Linked DNA regions of Lytechinus pictus. The protein of the gene in region 1 purifies or fractionates together with the protein of each later gene. This does not show direct contact. Links are inferred from orthologs where the notes say so. Each region holds a gene or a part of one and is shown in the gene's direction. Other genes may lie near its edges.

What was found.
Region 2: the proteins of 3-phosphoinositide-dependent protein kinase 1-like (region 1) and uncharacterized protein LOC129254990 purify together in Homo sapiens (affinity purification with mass spectrometry; 3 studies listed by BioGRID and IntAct, with this or other methods). This does not show direct contact. The link is inferred for Lytechinus pictus from reciprocal best matches to the Homo sapiens genes PDPK1 and YWHAE.

What each region holds. Positions count from the first base shown.
Region 1 is NC_087254.1:723,555-734,193, forward strand, and holds the start of 3-phosphoinositide-dependent protein kinase 1-like, read left to right. Parts: upstream 1-5,900; 5' UTR 5,901-6,067; coding exon 6,068-6,094; intron 6,095-10,639. UniProt on the Homo sapiens protein: Serine/threonine kinase which acts as a master kinase, phosphorylating and activating a subgroup of the AGC family of protein kinases.
Region 2 is NC_087246.1:3,530,195-3,541,420, forward strand, and holds the start of uncharacterized protein LOC129254990, read left to right. Parts: upstream 1-5,988; 5' UTR 5,989-7,553; coding exon 7,554-7,898; intron 7,899-11,226. UniProt on the Homo sapiens protein: Adapter protein implicated in the regulation of a large spectrum of both general and specialized signaling pathways. Binds to a large number of partners, usually by recognition of a phosphoserine or phosphothreonine motif.

The sequences.
Region 1 (10,639 bases):
TCATTTGAAGAATGCTATCAAGCGGTAAAGGAAATGAAATGGAATAAGTCACCAGGTAATGATGGTTTTACAGTTGAATTCTATTTTACGTTTTGGCCAATTTTAGGTAAATTTATTGTCGAAGCATTTTATGAAAGCTTTGATACAGAGATGTTATCAAACTCGCAGAGACAGGGAGTAATTACCCTTATTGAAAAGGATGGAAAAGATCATTTGTATATGAAAAAATTACAGACCGATAACACTTCTTAATGTAGACTACAAAATATTGTCAAAAGTTTTAGCTAAAAGGGTAAAAGAGGTACTGGGGGACATTATTCATTATGACCAAGTAGGGTATGTTAAAGATAGAAACATTGGAGAGGCAGTGAGGTTAATAGACGATGTATTATTTCAATCCTTATATCAGCCAGTAGGATTTGTAATTGCTGTAGATTTCGAAAAAGCATTTGATTGTGTATCACATAGACTTCTATTTAAAGTTGAATTAAGAAGACGGTTCCAAATATTGAGATATTTACATTAATAGCAACCTTACAACCCCCAAACACTAATAGGTGATTCGACCCCCCATTTTCTTTTTTCAAAATAGTGAATTTGAACGATTTATGCCTACCCATTTTCCCTGAGTTCGCTCCTGCAATGCCTACCGAGACGGGTGTTCTTTGAGTGTGACGTCACCGGGGGGTATTCGGTCCCGGTGTAGAAAACAAGGCAGTGCCGTTTTGTGTACTATGCACGTACTCCTTCATATGGAATAACTGCAGTTGAAGTTGTATCTGCGAGCCATAGAACTTGCAAAGAGGAAATGATTAAAATATTTGTGGCCGTACTATTATTCCAAATATGTGAATTCCCTCAGAATGATACCATAGACCCTAAAGGAATAATTTCAAGGTGAATAATATGACATTTGCATTTGATCGAGATCTTCTCACCAGTCGATAACGTAGCAGACGTGTTATTATGACATATTTATCCGCGTGTGACGCGGCTCTTGCAAAAAAACACAGTTGGTTGCGGAATTGCTTTGTGCCGACCGGCCGCCCGCTCCGGCGCAGCTAGCTGTCGAGCTACCGTACCGTTCTTGTTGTCTTCAACCATAGAGATGTATACTAATTACTATATATCTTTCTGTCTTCAACTCACTTCCGAATTGCGTTTGTATGTGTGACGGTGACCCCTAGCGTAATTAAATATAGAAAACAACTCAGAAGGCCGAGAAAGAATACTATACGTTTGGTTCAAGATTGTTCTGTGGAATGAACTATGAGTGGAAATGATCCAGAGGATATAAAAGTGGAGTCAAAGACAAAAGAAAAGAAGAAAAAACGCCAGGGGATCGCTGCACGGCCATGAACTAAGTCGACTTACCAGACCATAACAGTACACTCAATGCCTGGGTGTTGTGTGTACTAGTATTGCGTTCAGCGCGCGCTGAGCTAGCCGCCGGAATTACTTTCCAGCTACTCACTTGATTGAACATCGTGATAAAATAAATGAGAAATAGTGAAAATATCATTCAATAACTCACTGTTTGCTATCTTACATCATGATTGAAGAGTTCATGGTGGTTATTCATACTGTTTTTTATACAGGGAAAGTAAAGATTTGTACATATCAGTCCCATTTGTTTGATTTGAGTTGCTTTGAAAAAAAATTGTAAAATATCTTTCTCTCTCTGCATAGCATTTCTGTATGACATTCAGGCAACTCTTATACTAAATTCCCCCCGGTGACGTCACACTCCGAGTGACTTTTCTGTACACTCGTCTCTCGGGCTCTGACAGGTGGCTAATTTCATAGACTTTCAAAGCAAAATATCGAGAAGGCAGAGGATTATTGTGACATGCTATGTGTTTGAACAACTTATATATACTATATATTGTATGTAGAACCTATATTTATGGAAACTCACCCCCTTCTTAATTCAACTTTAAAGCATTGGAATCTTTTGGATTTGGTAATGTATTATGCTCTTGGGTTAGAATTCTTTATAATGATGTTAGTAGCTGTGTGATGAATGGGGGACACTCAACTGGATATTTTTAGGTTAAAAGAGGTGTAAGACAAGGAGATCCCCTTTCTCCTTATTTATTTATTTATTATAGTTATTGAATTACTTACTAATTTTATTCGAAATGATCCGGGTATTGAAGGGATTGTGTTTGGTGAAAGAAAAATAAAACAAGTATTGTACGCAGATGATTGTACATTGTTTCTAAAAGACACGTACTCAGTTAATAGGGTGAAGAAAGTCTTCGGACATTTTGAGAAATTGAGTGGTTTGAAAATAAACATGGATAAGACAAATTTTATGTGGTAGGGGGAAGAATGTGATAGGCCGGTTATACCTGTGTTTGGACATAGAATGCAATAATACAAATTTTAGGGGTATATTTTTCACGAGACTCCACAATAAAAGATGACTTAAATTATAAGGAAATTTTGAGTAAAATCAAAAGATTAATTGGATGGTAGAGGCAACGAGATCTGACAATGTTTGGTAAAATTAGATTGTTAAAAATACATGTATTTTCAAAATTAAATTATGTTTCTTCTCTTATTTCAGTTCCTCAAAATATCTTTAAAGAAATTGAAAATATTTCTTTTAATTTCATTTGGGGTGGAAATGACAGAATAAAACGGAAAATTCTATATCAAGATTATTGTGCAGGGGGACTCAGAGTACTATTTTTGAAGTTTTCATTAAAACTCAGAGAATTATGTGGATTAAAAGGCTGCTGTATGGTGAGAAATATTTAGGTTGGAAAGTAACCTTTGACTACTTTTTTAGATCATTGGGAGGCCGGAGTATATTTCTTTGTAATTATGATGCAAATAAAATGGACTTACAAGGTATACCAATATTTTATAAAGATATGTTGAAAGCATGGCAAGATTTGGATCAATGTAGAAACTTTGAGGAAAACAAGATCAATCCTGTGATTTTTAACAACAGATTTATATGTCTTCATAATAAACCATTTTTTGATGTTGAACTCTATCAGAAAGGTATATTTCAAGCATCAGATATTATTGTAGGAAGTCAACTAAGACCAGTCTCATACTTCCATAACCGGGGTTTCACTGCTAATAATCTGCTGATGGTTCAAATATTTTTTTCTGTGATTAAAAAAGAATATGGATACAAAGTGATTTTATAGTTATAGATAGTGAAAACTTTCAAATAGAACTGAAGATCTTTGGTTACCTACATAAATTTATGGATTTAAAAGCCAGATATGTATATAATTACTTTATTGAGCAATTTCAAAAAGAGTATACATTAAAGGTTTTTGATGGACATTGTGAATATGATCTTGGAATAGGGGAGTTGAAAGAAACTTTTACAAGATTGAAAAATGCTTTGATATGTAGTAAACAAAGGGAGTTACAGTACAAACTATTACATGGGGCAGTGTATACAAAAGAGAAGCTCTTCCAATTTGGTTTTAAGTCAGACAATCTTTGTTCTTTTTGTAAACAACAGGTCGAAACATACCAACATTTATTTTTAGATTGTTTAAAGGTTAAACAGTTAAAGAAGGAGGTCATCAAAAAGCTTCATTTAAAGGAAGTTAGGATTGATGATTGGAAAACAATTTTCATCGGTCTATCTGGTAAATGTGTGGGAAATACATGCAATAAACTGTATAATCTTTCTGCTAAAACATATAATTTTTAATTCTAGAGAAAAGGGCGCGAGCTACCGTCGCTACAAAAAGCAACAGATATGATTAAAGTTGACAGAAACCAGGGGCCGCGGAACCGGGGGGGGGGGGGCTGGGGGGGCTTCAGCCCCCCACTTTTTTCCAAAACCGTGTACAAAAACGCAAAAATTACCATACGATTGTGATTTTTTGCATGGTCAGCCCCCCCCCCCCCCACTTTGAAAACCGTTCCGCGGCCCCTGGAAACGAAGAGTATAATATAGCCAAGAAAACAGGAAAGTTGGGAGTACACTTAAGAAAATGGGAACAAATTGGTGCATTTCTTTGACTCTTCATTTATCGTACTCTATTTTATTTTATCTTTTTTTTTTTTTTTTTTTAATGATACAAGTTACAGATCGACAGACCGGAACGGATGTGCGCCTGTTGTATGATATTTTTGCGTGAGGGTTTGTTTATGTGTGTGTGTGTGTGGATGTGTTTTTTGGGGTGTATGTGTGTGTGTGTGTGGACGGTGTTTTTTGGGGGATGGTATGTTTGTGTGCTAGGGAGTGTGAGGTGCGTGTGGTGAGTGAAAGATACATAACCTTCCTCTTAAAGATCAGTTTCATGAGAAAAAGTAGTTTATTTGATTTGACATAATTTGACATGATATAAATATTGAGGTAACTTTTTCTTCTATATTATGTACTTTTATGGGGTTTTTCCCCCTTATATCATGCACTTTTAAACAAAGTCATAACATTTGACATAAAAACATTTTCGTGTTAATGTCTTGAAGAAATTGTAGTTGTATTATTTTGAGATAATTTTGATATGAATTTTATATGATCTTACCTGTTTTGTTTTCTATATGCGATACTCTGTGAATATCTTGTTTTGTGATTTTTGAAATTGTAAAATCATATTAAGAGGAAGAAATAAAATATCATTGAAAACAAAAAAATCATCAACCGTGGTCGAGTGGTCTAAGGCGCCTGGCTATACATGAAAAAGTCTGGGGTTCGATCCCCGGCCGCGGCAGATATGCCCGTGAGCAAGGCATTTAATCTACGATGCTCTTTTATCCTGCTTTCAAATAAATGGAAATGCTATATGCATAATTGGTAACTAGGTGTGCACTTGTTTAAAAAAAAAAAAAAAAAATCATCATCAATAAACTATCATCTTTATAAGTCCATCATTCAAGCATAGAGCTATTCATAGCTCCATGATTAAAGTAAATGAGATACAGAGACAAGGACTCTCATCCCGGACTCTCATGTGCTCATATCTGAATTAACCTACTGATCGGCGCAAATGAAGGGGTATTAAAAAACATTTGGACCGTGGTTTACTCTTTGCATGAACTCATAAGTTCCAAAGTAAAGATATCAAAGATATCAAGGATGAGACTGTAACCCACCTTATAGGAGAATGTACCCTCTATGCAGATGAAAGGAAAAGGTTCCTCGCCAACCTTCCTCCGTATCTCCAACACGATCTTGCCATGACTCCTGCGTCACAAGTCGCTCAGCTGAATTACTAATGTTGTACTTCTTGGATTGGACACTAAGCCACTAAGGCAACTAGTATACCTGTTGCTTCAGCTCCTCAACTTCATTACTACTCCCTTCATTTCTTGCATGAGCTTCATGTCAAACGTTCTCTGTTGGTGAACAACAACTACACAGCCTTGTGATACACTTTATTCCAACTTCGTTCTGAGCCATTCTCTTTTGTCTCTATACATATTTATCAAACCACTTTTTTCTGCGTATCCACTGGATCTCGCAGTTCTCCAGGACTGGAGGAAATCAACAGAAGAAGAAGAAGCTGAATTTCTGCCATTACTGAAGTTAGATAATGTTATTCAAGCATTCATTTGAATTTTTCGAAACTCTGAAAGGAAAACATTTCAAGCAGCCTCCAGCCTGCAGGGGTCAGGAATTAACCCCTGTCCGTATATTAAAGTTTGGAAGTTTGCACGGGTGATAAATTTATTTTATCAGACCTAGTCCCGTTTTACGGTACATTCGTACTCCACCGTAGGTGTTTTTTTTTCTACTGATGACAGATGAAATTAAATTTAGAAACATTCATAGGTCTATATTTTCATGAATTTGTTTATTTATAACTTCAAAGTGAGTGATACTGTATGTCATTGAAAACGAAAGCCAATATGAATAATTGCAGATACCATACGACGAAAGAAAGGAAATATTTATTTGGCTGGCCATCTTCAACGTGTTTACAAATTGGGGGTTAAGCTTCAGGGCCGATTGTAATTCCACAAGACGTTAAAAAACAATTTTGTGTTAAAAAGAGGACATTGTTTGATTTGATATGATATTCTCTAGGTGACTAAGTATATCTGCAGCAATTTGAGGACTTCTTCAATTGTTCTACGTGCGATGGCAAGTGTAAATTCTGCAGAATATGTAAGTAGTCGACCGACCGGTGAGTTAACTAATTTTTTCAGCACAGGCCCTGCCATTCATGACATGGGCACTCTCAATCTCATGCACTGCACTGGCGCACAGAGTAGGGTATTCGTAATTTGCATATGGTTGGAACTACCCCTTATCGACCACCTAATCGGAGGCCACCTAATCTTCTAAGCATCGTATCTGCGAAAATATTCATCAATTTTACCCAGTTTTCATCTCATTTGAGCAGAAAATTGAGCAGATCAGATTCCCATGTTTCGCTCGGCGACTCCGATTCAATCCGCGTATATGATGATGATGGGGTACCTCGAGCGAAGTTCGTGCAGGCTCCACTCCACTTCACTACCGCTACACTACGCTCCACCTACCCGAACTTCGAGACCATGAACTCGATCGGATATTCCGAGTGACAAAAGGTGGGACTTTATGGGGAGAAAATACAAAATTCATGCAACATCACGATCTTTAAAAACAAGTAGGCCTACAACTAATATTCTTACTTTACACAAAGTTTCACTTCTTTTCCATGCTTCTATCAGTCTCAAAATTGATGATTTAGAGCCAACATGAAGTTCCTCACACGTAATAATTCGCTGCCGATTTCAGAACATCGCATGCACGCGAGGGTCCGAGCTCGGACCAGACCCGGTACCTCCCGCATGCGATGTTTTGAAGTCGGCAGCGCATTAATATTTATACGTGTGAGGAACTTCATGTTGGCTCTAAATCATCAATTTTGAGACTGATAGAAGCATGGAAAAGAAGTGAAACTTATTAGTTGCACTTGTTTTTAAAGATCGTGATGTTGCATGAATTTTGTATTTTCTCCCCATAAAATCCCACCTTTTGTCACTCGGAATATCCGATCGAGTTCATGGTCTCGAAGTTCGGGTAGGTGCAGCGTAGTGTAGCGGTAGTGAAGTGGAGTGGAGACTGCACCAACTTCACTCGAGGTAATGATGGGGGGACCTAAAGCTACGCACTTTGTTTTCAAACAACTAAAAGTAAAACTATCCCAATTTTAATTTTTCAACAAATTATCTTTCACTAATTTGTGGCAAATATTATAAAGACCATTAACCAAGAAGAAAATCTCGCAAAACTTACACGAAAATCCCGCCGTGTTTTCCGAACACCTCTTAATTTCGCCGCCCGATGTAGAAGGGGTCCTAAAGCAACGCACTTGATTTATCATGCAAAAAAATTGTATTTCCTGTGCCTCAATTTCTAAAATATATTCACATTATCATAGGATAAAATGAAATTAAAGTGAATATTATAACTCCAAAATTCCAAACAGTTGTTGGTTTTCTCTGCATTTAGAGTATTAGAGATTTACTGCAGCCTCTGTAGAAAAAATTGAATAGGAATCGTTCGTCACTCTGCAGTCACAGTTCCACACACAGAGTGCGCAGTTGCCTGTTTGCCATAAAAACTGCATGCGCGATGGGAGTAGCTTTAGGACCCGCGCAGCTTTAGGACCCCCTACCATATATCGACGAACAACGAATGCGACAATTTTCCATTTGCTCATTTGCACCCGTCTTTTAAAATCGACCACCCACGGTACACTAACTTTGTTCATGGCCGATTCTTGTCGCGGTGGCGAAATATTTTTACTCTTTCAAATCAGTTCTAAAACATCAACATGCTAAATGATCGCCTGACTACTTCCACTGCGAGCTCCGGCGCATGATTCGATGATTGACGACGGATATTTGTTCTAAAGCCGTTTCCTATCGGATTTCTTGGTTTTTCAGCGGGGTTAAGGTTTGGTCAATACAATTTTGATTAATTCTACTAAATTTTTACTTTTTGATGCTTCTTTTTTTCTTGTCTCCCTATATTAAGAAAAATAACGTAAGAAGATGAGCAGATACTCACCGATGATCTTGTCACAATTTTCCTTCTTTGTTCGTAGCCTAGTTACAAGAGTTACAAGATAAGAGAGGGCTACGATATCATTAGCAGTGCAAATTTAAAGAAAAAATAAAAAAATCAATCGGCTGATGAATATCGTTAATTGTAAAATACTTGCATTAGCCAATAAACATTTATGAGCTAATGCAAGTACCGGTAGGGTATGGACCACTAGGCCAACACACGGCCTTCTTTCAGCAAACACTGAATACTAGCTGTTGCAGAGAACAAGGTTAAAGCTGCCTGAGATTCCACATTCTTTCTTTAATATTATTGAAATGTGCTATCGTAATAATAATATAAAATACTACATGTATATAAAAAGAGAAACTGTGGAAGTATGATCATTTCATTTTATTCAATCATTTTATCAATTTCATATTCATTCCTATTTAAACTTTATATAGATCCCATCTTATTTCCACCATTTTGATAACTCATGAACTTCATAACAAAACGTTTGAAATCTTGAAGTAATCAAATCTGCAGTGTAAGTTATAATTGTTTTTGTTTGATTTTGTGTCATTTCTTTTTATGTTCATATATATATATTTTTTCACAATTATTTAGACCCACATTGCAATTAAGTGGGGATTCGTTATCAAAGGTCAAGTCCACCCCAGCAAAATGTTGATGTGAATAAATAGAGAAAAATATAACTAGCATAACACTGAAAATTTCATCAAAATCGGATGTAAAATAAGAAAGTTTGGCATTTTAAAATTCCGCTTATTTTTCACAAAACAGTGATATGCACAACTCAGTGACAGGCAAATGAGTCAGTTGATGATGTCCATCACTCACTATTTCTTTTGTTTTTTATTGTTTGAATTTTACAATATTTCATTTTTAACAGATTTGACCATAGGGACCGACTTGACTGAACCATAGTATCAAACAACGCTAATTCCACATGTATAGGGAGGAATTAATCACTGGTTCACTTGACAATGAGGAGAAAATTGAAATATTTCATATATCATTTAATAAAATACAAAAGAAATAGTGGCAAGGGGATGATGTCACCAGTCTCCTCATTTGCATATCAACCAGGATATGCATTATAACTGTTTTGTGAAATTAAGCAAAACTTAAAAATGTCATAACTTTTTTTATTTTACATCCGATTTTGATGAAATTTTCAGTGAACTTTTATGCTTGTTGGAATTTTCTCTTTTTATTCAAATAATTTTTGTTGTTGCCCAGGTGGACTTGTCCTTTGAAGAAATTATGAAAATACAGTTTATTGAATGTCATTTCTAAAATGAGGATTTTTTTTATTTTTTTTGCTAAATAATTTTCTTATCATTTCCATCATATATGACACATGTACATGTACTTAATCCATAAAAAACACACAAACACAAGCTGAATGTACTGGTATATCACTGTACATAATCAATTAAAAGACATATTTCAAATTTTCTAGTGCTTTTCACATTGCATTTTCTCTTGTACATGTATAATAAAACTGCAATATTTTGTGTAAAGGACCAAGGTAATGTTTTCAATTCTGCACTCAATAAAATGTGATTGATGAAGATATGTTATTATGGACAAAATATGACCAGGGTGCTACATAAAGCACTTGCCCGATTGCCGGGGGCAAGTAAAAGTTAGAGTTGGGCAAGTGTTTTGAAGTAAAGACAAAAACTACTTGCCCGAATTGGGCAAGCAAAATTCTCACAGTAGAGTGACCAAATTAAAGGTCGATATGATATTATATTGACCCTAATTTTGGTCATGGCAATAACAAGGTAGATTTTTTTTCAATGATTTTTCAGGCTAGTGAAATAGATTTTTGGGCAAGTATATTTGAACTGTTTAAAAATTTACTTGCCCGACTGGGCAAGTGCTTCTAAAAAGTTATGTAGCATCCTGAGACAAAGACCAACTTAAGGTAATTGTTTTAATTTCACAAAAGAAAGTGAGAAACATCGATGGATATTCAATTTTCAATAGAAAATACATACATGTGTTTACAAGAGCATTGTATATACCAAATGTTGCACAAATACATGTAACTTGTTGGCCTATGTGCAGTACAGTATATCCCATTAAAGGTCAAGTCCCCCCCATAAAAATGTTGATTTGAATAAATAGAGAAAAATCAAACTAGCAAAACACTGAAAATAAGAAAGTTATGACACTCTAAAGTTTTGCTTATTTTTCACAAAACAGTGATACATGTATGCACAACTCAAATGAGATAGTCGATGATGTCCCTCACTCACTTTTTATTTTGTTTTTTATTGTTTGAATTATACAATATTCAAATTTTTATGGATTTGACAATAAGGACCATTTTGACTGAATCATATCAAGGTTACAGGTCATCTGTGGTTAATGAACTTTCACCATTTTGTGGGATCTATGTCTGATGAATAATTTTCATTCACTTAAGATTCTTTTTATGTGATTTTGGGGAATCTTTAAGACCGTACTTGACATTGTGGTTTTCCTTACTCTTACATTTTATAGATGGAAATACTCATAGATGTACGTACATGGTCATGGACACATACATGTACATGTACACTTTGCACGTGTGTAGTTCATGAATACCAGTACTGTAAATTGACGATTTTAGCTTGTGCTGCTGATCTATATTACATG
Region 2 (11,226 bases), on another chromosome or scaffold:
CGGTTCAGTTCGGTTTTGCTACAGCACTAATCACGTGCATACAGAGTGCCAATCAATGAACAATCAACTTTTTCAAATATTAATGATCTTACACCTGAAGACCGGGATTCTTTATTGTTATTCAGTATTAAATGATAATACTAATGACGGATAAACCAATTATATATTGCCTTCGATCCATCCATGGTTCCCTTAGTGATGCGAATCAAACCATTTTCCTTCGGGGCTGTGCCCATCAGGAAAACAGTCGCATTCCGGCAAACCATACTTCTAACCACCAACTCTTGCGGCCGTACATATTTGATCAGTATAATTTTTTATGGCTGTTATCGATAACGGCTTTATCGATAGTCTTGTCGATAATCATTTGTTTTTTGCCACTTAGCGATATCGATAACGTTTCTCTCGTTGTCGATAATACCCACTATTATGTAGGGACACAATGATTTTCCTTGATTTCAAGGAATTCACGTAAATGGCCTTTTGAAAGTGGCTTTTCAAATGGAAAATCATGGAAAACATATTTTTCCTCAAACTGCACAGAATAGCAACAGAAATTGCTCCAAAATCTCAACAAAATACGAATACTTACTAGCCACAAAACACGATCTCACCCCCACTTCGCTATAATCATGACATTCTAAACATCATGACTGCACTCCACTCCATTTCGATCGAATTGAAAACATCACAAGTGCAAAGCTCAATTTTAGAGAAGTACCAACTAAAGTAATCGTAGAAGGTAGCAACCGGCCCTGTGTTGCTGCCCTCTACATTCAAAGATGTACAGCTTGATATCAAAATGGTGGATAGGCGAAAGACGTTGACTGCTCAGAATGATGTCCAGAAAGCCCCAAAATTAATGATAAAACTTCAACCCTAAAATAATGCTAATAACGTGAAAGATGAGGATGTATTTATTAATGTTGTAACCCGCACCCGTTGCGGTACGGGTTAACCTGCCGGTATGCCCCCGATCGCGGGTTGCGGGCCGGGCCGAGTTCATTCTCAAACCCGCAGACCGTCATGCGAAAAAAAAGGGAGAAGTAACGACGCATAATAAAAACATTAACAATGAAAATTGAGTTAGGATCATGTGCTTCTTACGTGGCGGATTCTTTTAGAGACGTAGATATTTCCTTTTAAAAAAATGCTGGCGTATTTTTGTCTTGTGAACAGTGAACAGGACTGAGACAGTTCGACATAAATACATCAGTTGCTCTTTCGAAGAAGGAGCGCGCGCCAGTGCAGCGCAGCACAGTAGTCGATCTAGTCAAAAGCAATCGCATAGGCCAATGAAACTCGATGTCGAGTTTCCCGTCCCATTTTTTCCAGCTCATAATGAGGATTTCATTATTCATTATTTTCCAGAAGATGAAAGTTTGACCTTTTGTAACCTTTGAACGCACTTTTATTCTGTGGAACTGTCTTGAAGCCAGGGAGCAAATCAATCATTTTTTTTTCGGGGGTTCCATTTTCATTTTTTATAATATTTCAGGGTCTCCATTTCTACCGTTTTGGAGGCTACTTTTTTCATTTCGGGGGCTCTTTTCAAATACGTTTTTGTATTTTGAGGAATCCCTGTTCACTTATTAAATTAATTATTACTTATTGTTTAATATTGCATGATTTTAAAGTTATTTTTTTCATGCTTAGAATCTTGGATGTGGGTGTGTTTGTGTGGGTGTGACTATGAGTTGAACTTGGATATAAATGAATTCAATATCTAATTTCTACTCCATCTAATTCCAGTACTTGGCCATGTAATAAAGGCCCACATACCCTAACTTTTCCTGATGTTCTTTGAAAACGCAGATCTCCACGAAAATTGCATTTCTCTATGGGGGAGTCTAAATTTGGTGAGAATGAACTCATTAATAACTTAAATATACATGACAATGAAGAAATCATCTAACTTTATTGGCAGTTTTGAATAATATTCCCGAAATATAAACTCTGTCTGAAACATAAAATCACCATTATTGAGGCCTTTACAGAGCGAATTGTCCCCCAGAGCTCTGGCAGAGAGACAGAGCTCAGACTGGCTAGCTAGTACAAGCGCCAATGCGTACGTGCGTGAGCCTCCCGTCGGCCTTGTAAAACAGATTGAGTTTTGTTTGATGATTTTTTTTGTCTGATATGCCGTATGACAACTCACCAATGCGAGGTTACTAGACTGTGGGATTTATTGAGGTAGCTCGACCAAACCTCGAGCGATGTTCGTGCAGGCTCCACTCCACTTCACTACCGCTACATCGGGTAGGTAGAGCATAGTGTAGCAGAAGTGAAGTTGATTGGAGCCTGCACGAACATCGCTCGAGGTGTGGTTGAGCATGCAGTGTCATTCCATTCACAAGAAAAAAACAAGAAAAGAATTACAGGTATTTACATGATATACAAGTAATTGTGACTGAAAAGCTTATATTAATGTTTTATATCAGTTCTGAATCTAGATCTATGTCAAAATAGTAAAATAATGAATTATTTTCAGAATTTGATTTTTAAACGCGGTCCAAATTTCATAACTCGGGCGGGCGACGGGAAACTGAACATCGAATTTGCTGGGCAGCCTGGGCTACATGTAGCTAGCGCGCGCTGAGCTGCGGCTCCAATCCGAGGAGTTAATTGCGCAATGCTTTCGATTACGAGATCAGAGCCGACCCATTTCGGGTACAAAGTAACCCCAAAAACATTTTCTCTCCGGAATAAAAGGCGAATTTGCAAATTGTAGTAGTTGGCATATATTTTCGTGATTTGAGCCTGTATAGTGTGGGGATTGCAGAAATAATTTTCATTTTTCAAAGATAAATTTACTTGCGGGTTAAAACCCGACGGGTCAGCGGGTCCCGCTTGCAAATTATTGGATTATACGGGACGGTACGGTTCGGGTTTTCACTTGCGGGTTACAACATTAGTATTTATGTTAAGAGATGTTATGTAATCATTTACTTATGATGAACGTAGATTTTAAAACATTCTTGGTACAGTGGCAGATACAAATTTTGACCAACGTGAGTATGAGACATCGCTGTAATGGATAAAAAAAGCATATTTTTTATGTTCTTCTGTCGATAGTTATCGATATATGTAAGATATCTTAGCGTGATATTGACAGAATTTTCTTAACTTTAACAGCCCTTTAATTTTCACATGATACTTTTATAATATACAAACCTTGGTCAACGAAGAGTACATATAGTTATGAAATAATTTTCTTGCAGTCATTTTGTTCTGTTTGTTTTTTCGCATTTATGCTGTTAAGTGTTGACGCCCTCTACATTCACATTCATTCGATTGCTTCAATTGTTCATTTGCTTTATTTCATACCGTAACAGCCTATAAACCTCACCCATGGATTAACCGCACCCCCAACTTTGGACAAAAAAAAAAAATAATCACATTCTCTTTCTAAATCCTTCTCACATTTACATGCATATTTGAGGTACCAAGAAACAAAAACTAAGTTATAAAGATTTCAAAGTATCAAAAGAGATAACCGATAAATGGAAATCTGCTGTTCTTGATCAATTCATCTACAAATGATAGGAAGAAAGGTTCAACATTATTGGCCACTTACACACTCACCTCACAGTGTACACAAACAGTATGCACTGACGTTCTTGTACATTGCAAAGTACGATACGGTACTGGTACCGGTACATCACATCACGATATCATCATATTATGCTACAGCTACCGTGTCTTTCCCGGCGTAGGAGAGGAGGAAACATTCACATTTCCCGCATCACAACCTCACTATCACTTTCAGAATTTGTCTAGCATTCAATGTCTTAACATGAATTTTGGATATTAGTCCAGGATAGAAGAGGCATAACCTTGTGTTTTCATATATACAATATTTTTGTATGGTTCTTGTCAATTCGAGGGTGCTGAATACGAATCTGAAGGATGCCACTCGTGTAACCTTGAGCATTTTCCGCAAATTGGCAAAATCCAATACGGCCGCCAAGACATGCATATTACCCATTAAAATCATCTAATTGCAAGCAAATTGGCTATAAAATGAATGTAATTGTGTTGCAGGAGTGAAATACTCTCTGAAAAAAACATTTTCTGACAAATATTTATTTCTTGATATTCAAAATGGCCGCCACAGACCTCTGTATACACTATTATGTACAATATAAATAGGGAAAATTAATTTTGTACACAAAAATGATCACTAAACTGCAAGTAATTGTGATCTATGGACGAAGTAATATATGAAAATCATCAATGCTGACATGATATATCATTTATTATGTAATGTATGGGAAAATTGTATTTAATATTCAAAATAGCATGCTACTGGCCCAAAAAGTTTCTATGGCAAAGGGGCCAACAAAAATCGCAAGATTAAGCATTAAAATGCATATTATTAAGAGAAACGAAATGGCATACTGACTAAAAACACAAATGATAACGAAATATATTATTTAATATGCCATGTATGTGATAAATGCTGTATTTTGATATTCAAAATGGCCGCCAAAGGCCCTAACAGTATTATGTACAATGAGATTGAGGATGAAAGAAATCACAAGAGTGAGCACTGAAGTGCATTTATTTGTGATGAATAAATGGGATAAAACATAAAAACATAATTTTTAACGAAATATATCATTCAGGTTTAAAGTTTGTGTTTAATACTGTATTTTGACTTTCAAAATGGCTGCCATAGACATTGATTGTTTTATGTACAATGTGAACTAGGAAATAAATTTTCACACGAGTGAGCACCATAAATGCACGTAATTGTGATCTATGAGTAAAATTTTGTCTGAAAGCATAATCTCAAACAAGATATATTAGTTCTTCTGCCAGGTTGGTTACAAATACTGTATTTTGAAAGTCAAAATGGCCGCTACAGGCCTCAACAGTATTATGTACAATGTGAATGGGGACAAATGATTTTGATACATTTTTGCTTTGCTTGACTAAATGGTGTTGTATGAGTAAAGTATTGTCTGAAAACATTATTACTAACGAAATATATCATCTAAAATTTAGGTGATAAATATTATATTTCAAAATTCAAAATGGCCGCCATATGCCCTTTTGTGAAAATTATCTGTTCTCATTCAAATTGTATATACAGTAATACAATAAGGACCCATGGCAGCCATTTTCCATTTCAGAATACAGCATTTATCACCTTAAATGCACCAGACATGATATACCTCGTTAGGAACCATGGTTTTAGACAATATTTCACTCTTACGCAATACTTATAGTCAAGCAAAGTCAAATTCTGTCAAAAGCGTATGTCCCAAATTACAATGTACATAATACTTTTAGAACCTTTGGCAGCCATTTTTATATCAAAGTACAGAATTTATTACCTCCATGACCAATATGTGATGTATCTACTGTATTTAGAAATCATGTTTTGAAGACAATATTTTTACTCATACATCGCAGATACATGTACATGCATTTTATTGTTCTCACACTTGTAAAAAGTAGATTCCCTATACGCATGTAACATAATTTAATTAGGGATTGCATCAGCTATTTTGAATGTCAAAATACAGTATTTATCACTTACATGGCAGAAGAAATGCTATATTCTATAAAAATCATGTTTTCAAATAATGTTTTATCATACAACAGGATTTTATGGATTTCATAGTTAGGTAAATCAAAATTCTTACAAACCTACATGTCCCCATTTACATAGGTAATAGTGTTAGGGCCTATAGGGGCCATTTTGAATTTCACAATACAGCATTTATCTCATGCATGACATAAGAAATGATACATGTATGTTTCGCTAGAAAACATGTTTTCACACATTATTTTACTCCGTGATCACAATTACATGCATTTTGTAGTTCTTACTCTTGTGAAAATTAATTTCTCCAATCGCATCGTACACAATGTATAATGGGCCTATGGCGGCCATTTTGAATGTCAAAATGCAGCATTGATCACATAAATTGCATTTATCTTTCGTTAAAAATTATGTCTTTAGCCAGTATTCCACTCGCTTATCTTAAATGGGAATCCAACCCAAATGAAAACTTGTATTTGTAAGGAAAAGAAAAATCGGACAAGTTGATAGGTGAAAGTTTGAACAATATTGGACAAACAACAAGAAAGTTATGAATTTTTAAAAGTTGTAAATATTGGTAATCACTATACCCATGGAGACTTCAAATTGGCCGCATATGGGATGTCATAGTTATGTAAGGCAAGGACTACTCTTTCATGTACTCCAATACATATTATGGCTAAAATGTCATTTTTCCTATAAGTTTTATTTCAAATTATATTTTTCGTTCATGAGGACATAAAAAAAATATACTACCTGGGTTATATTTAGATTACTGCCCCAGTGGAATGGGTACTTAAAAGTAAACCACAAATCCCTGATAATAAAGTACATGGCCTATGGGAAAGTTGTCCTTGCCCCTTGTCATAATTTACTTCCCCAGTTGCCAATTTGAAATCTACATAGTATTAGTGATCTCAATTTTAAAACAGCTATAACTTTCTTAATGCTTGTCCGATTTCTTTCAAACTTTCACCATTCTGTTTAATTTATTTTTCTCCTTCCCAACACAACATTTTATGGCCAAGGCTGGATTCCCCTTTAATACTAGTAATGTGCATTTTAGTATTTACTCTTGTAAATTTATTTTGTCCCCATTATTGTACATAATACTGTCAGGGCATTTGGTGGCTTTTTGAATATTAACATGCTTCATTTATTACATACATGACATGACAAAATAATGATACATTTCGTTAGTAATCATGTTTTCATCCATTATTTCACAAAAAATCACAATTACTTGCATTTAGTGCTCACTTTTGTGAAATTTATCAAAATCTTAACCAAGGTTAAGTTTTTGAAATGTTATATGGACCTAGTTCATAAAACTTAGACATAAGGGTAAAAGTGTATCACTGAAGATCATGCATGAGTTTCAGGTTACATGATTAAGGTCAAAGGTCACTTAGGGTCAACGAACTTTGGCCATATTGGGGTTATTTGAGGAATTGTCATAACTTTAAAATTTTATGGATCTTGTTCATGAAACTTGGACATAAGAGCAACCATGTATCCCTGAATATCATGTGCCAGTTTCAGGTCACATGACCAAGGGCAATGGTCATTTAAGGTCAATGAACTTTGGCCATGATGGGGGTATTTGTTGAATTACCATCATAACTTTGATCGTTTATGGATCTGATTCATAAAACTTGGACATACATGTAAGAGTGATCAAATATCACTGAACATCTCATGCGAGTTTTGGGTCATATGACCGGTCACATAACCAAAGTCAAAGGTCATTTAAGGTCAATTAACTTTGGCCATTTTGGAGGTAAATATTAGATTGCTGCCATACCTTTCAAAGTTTATAGATATAGTTTATGAAATGTGGATATAGGGGTAATCAAGTAGCACTGACAAGTCTTACGTCGCATGATCAAGGTCAAATGTCATTTATTTTCAATGAACATAGTATTGTATCATTATATGAATTGTATTTTTTGTGAATAATTATGTTAGATAGTATTTTTTTTAAATTAGCGGTGCTTAGATGAATGGTGTGATGCAGGTGAGACTGCCAGAGGCGCTCCACTTAATTTGTAATAATCTTTTTTTCTGGTATGCACTGTATAACTTTTGTATTTATCTGTTAAAGCAGTATAAATCTTTTTTTTCTTTTGCAGAAATGGTTAGCTATATGAAAACGGTGGCCAATTCAGGTGATGAAGATTTATCAGTAGAAGAAAGGAACCTTCTGTCAGTAGCTTACAAGAATGTAATAGGAGCAAGACGTGCCTCATGGCGCATTGTCAGCAGCATTGAGCAGAAAGAAAAAGATAAAACAAAAGAAGGTGACCAAGACAAAGTAGAGGAGGTCAAAAAGGTCAGATTAGAGGTTAGTATTCTTCAAAAGTTTGAAATTTATTATAACAAGTTTAGTTTGCCGTCAGTGGCGGCACCAGAGCAGCATTTACTATATGTGTACATTTTTTTCAGATTTTGAAATTTCTGGGGGGGTGCAAATGCCCCCTGTTGCCGCAATTGTACGCAAGCGAATCAGGTCCCGAAGATGCGTCACTCATACCATAGCACACATACCCTAGGGGAAAAAATACACGGGGGCGGCGGGCGAATTCGCCCCGGAAATGCCTAAAGTCGCCCCCAAAATCACCCCAAATTATGCTTGGGGGCGGCATAAAATCTGGAAGTCGCCCCCGAAATAATTGCCAAACGAACTGGTTAGGCTGCGCTGCTAGCTCAGCGGCCCAAAGCCGGCCGGAACGCACAAGATCCGTTCTTTGATAGTGTAAAATTGCCTTTTTCATTGCATTTTGAAGATACCATCATAAATTTGCCAGAAAATAGATCTTGAACTCTGAACAAAATCAGTTTTTTCATTTTAGTGATTTTTCGATTTTGTTCTTAAATCTGAACTAAGCCTTCGGGTGCTCTGGAAATATCAAGTCAGAAATTAGGATTTTAAGCGGGGATTTTCGGTGAGTAACAGTTGGTGCCTGAGTATACATGCATACCTGCCAACCATTCCGATTTTGGCGGAACTGATTTTTTAACCTCAATTTCGAATTTTAAAACCAAAATTCTGATTTTTGGGTTAATCAATATAGTGTTGAAATTATTAAAATGACTGTATAATGCGACTAACGCATGTTGGCTGCAAGATGCGACTAACGCATCAGTGAAAAAAATACATGGGGGCGGCGGGCGAATTCGCCCCGGAAATGCCTAAAGTCGCCCTCGAAATCACCCAAATCATGCTTTGGGGGGTGACATAAAATCTGAATGTCGCCCCCGAAATTATTGCCAAGTGATAACAACTCAACGACCCACTAGCGCCATATGCTCGAGCTCCGCTTACCATTTAAAAATCATCCAAAATCCACACTCAAAATCATGAATAAGCCTTGAAAATAGCGAGGAGCGCATTTCAAATTCCGAAGTTGCGTCTTTTTTCTGTACCACGTATTTCCACACACATGGTACCAGGTATGGAAAAAAAAATCAACGCGACGGTCGGGAAACAGTTGCATGTATAGGGGTCCATTATGACTACAACCATGTGCAATTTCTGATGCACATGTTTCCCCTACAGATATCACAATTCTGTGATAAAATAATTTGAATTACACAGGAAAGAAATCCCAGAGTCTAGTAACCTATCATTGGTGAGTTGCCATTCGGCTTTGCTTTTCAAAACGGCCTATTAACATAAAGTTTGATGATTTCTTCTTTGTCATGTATATTTAAGTTCTTAATGAATACATTCTCACCAAATTTAGACTCCCCCATAGAGAAATGCAATTTTCATGGAGATCTGCGTTTTCAAAGAACTTCACGAAAAGTTAGGGTATGTGGGCCTTTATTACATGTACATGGCCGAGTACAGGGTATTGTACTGGAATAGACGGAGTAGAAATTAGATATTGAATTCATTTATATCCAAGTCCAACTCACAGTCACACACACACATCCAAGATTCTAAGCATGAAAAAAATAACTTAAAAAATCATACAATATTAAACAAAAAGTAATAATTCATTAATAAGTGAACAGGTATTTCTCCAAATACAAAAAAGGAGCATTCAAAAAGAGCCCCCGAAATGCAAAAAGTAGCCCCTGAAAGGTAGAAATGGAGCCCCCGAAATTTGACAAAAAAATTAAAATGGAGCCCCCGGAAATTTTTTAAATTTTTTTCCCTGTAATGCATAAATGGTTGGAGCGCACGGCTACACAAATGCGCAGTTCGTTATTACAAGCGACTTTAAGAACGACTGGTGACCCTTATGGTCAGTGATATCAACACCGCGTGTTCATTGGTGTTAAGTTACATGTAGCTCTTAAAAAAGGGTAACCAGTCCGTAAAGGTGCTCGTAACTACACCTGGTGTGTGCGCATGTGGCTAGTAAATAGAACCGTATGGAGCACTGACATACAGTATTGTTCTTCGTGGTGTACCATGCTTTTGTTGATAACTTTTTGTTGGATTACATGTGAAATATGTGCCAGGTTGTGTTGAATACAGTTGTGATTTTTTGTCTCACCTGCATAGCAGAGTGAGACTATAGGCGCCGCTTTTCCGACGGCGACGGCGGCGGCGACGGCGGCGGCGACGGCGGCGGCGGCGGCGACGGCGGCGTCAACACCAAATCTTAACCTGAGGTTAAGTTTTTGAAATGACAGCATAACTTAGAAAGTATATGGACCTAGTTCATGAAACTTGGCCATAAGGTTAATCAAGTATTACTGAACATCCTGCCTGAGTTTCATGTCACATGACCAAGGTCAAAGGTCATTTAGGGTCAATGAACTTAGACCATGTTGGGGGAATCAACATCAAAATCTTAACCTAAGGTTAAGTTTTTGAAATGTCATCATAACTTAGAAAATATATGGACCTAGTTCATGAAACTTATACATAAGGTTAATCAAGTATCAATGAACATCCTGCTTGAGTTTCACATCACATGACCAAGGTCAAAGGTCATTTAGGGTCAATGAACTTTGGCCGAATTGGGGGTATCTGTTGAATTACCATCATAACTTTGAAAGTTTATGGATCTGATTCATGAAACTTGGACATAATAGTAATCAAGTATTACTGAACATCCTGTGCAAGTTTCAGGTCACATGATCAAGGTCAAAGGTCATTTAGGGTCAATGAACTTTGGCCAAATTGGGGTATTTGTTGAATTACAGCCATAAATTTGAAAGTGTGTTGGTCTAGTTCATAAAACTTGGACATAATAGTAATCAAGTATCACTGAACATCCTGTGCAAGTTTCAGGTCACATGATCAAGGTCAAAGGTCATGTTAAGGTCAAAGAACTTTGGCCACGTTGGGGGTATTTGTTGAATTGCCATCATATCTCTATAAGTGTATTGGTCTAGTTCATAAAACGTGGAAATAAGAGTAACCAAGTATCACTGAACATCTTGTGCGAGTTATAGTAGTTTTCAAAATCAGCACTGCTGCTATATTGAATCGCGTGATGCAGGTGAGACGGCCAGAGGCATTCCACTTGTTTATTGAAAAAAGCAGTCTTGGCATTGGAATTGCATAGCCATTGGATTTTTCGAATTCGAGGAAGCAAGTTTGAATTTGATTTAGCTTTTTTATCAATATCATTAATTAACGTTAGTTTTGTTACTGAACTGAACTTGTGCGCATTCTCTAGATCTACATGTATCTCTACGCAATTTTAACA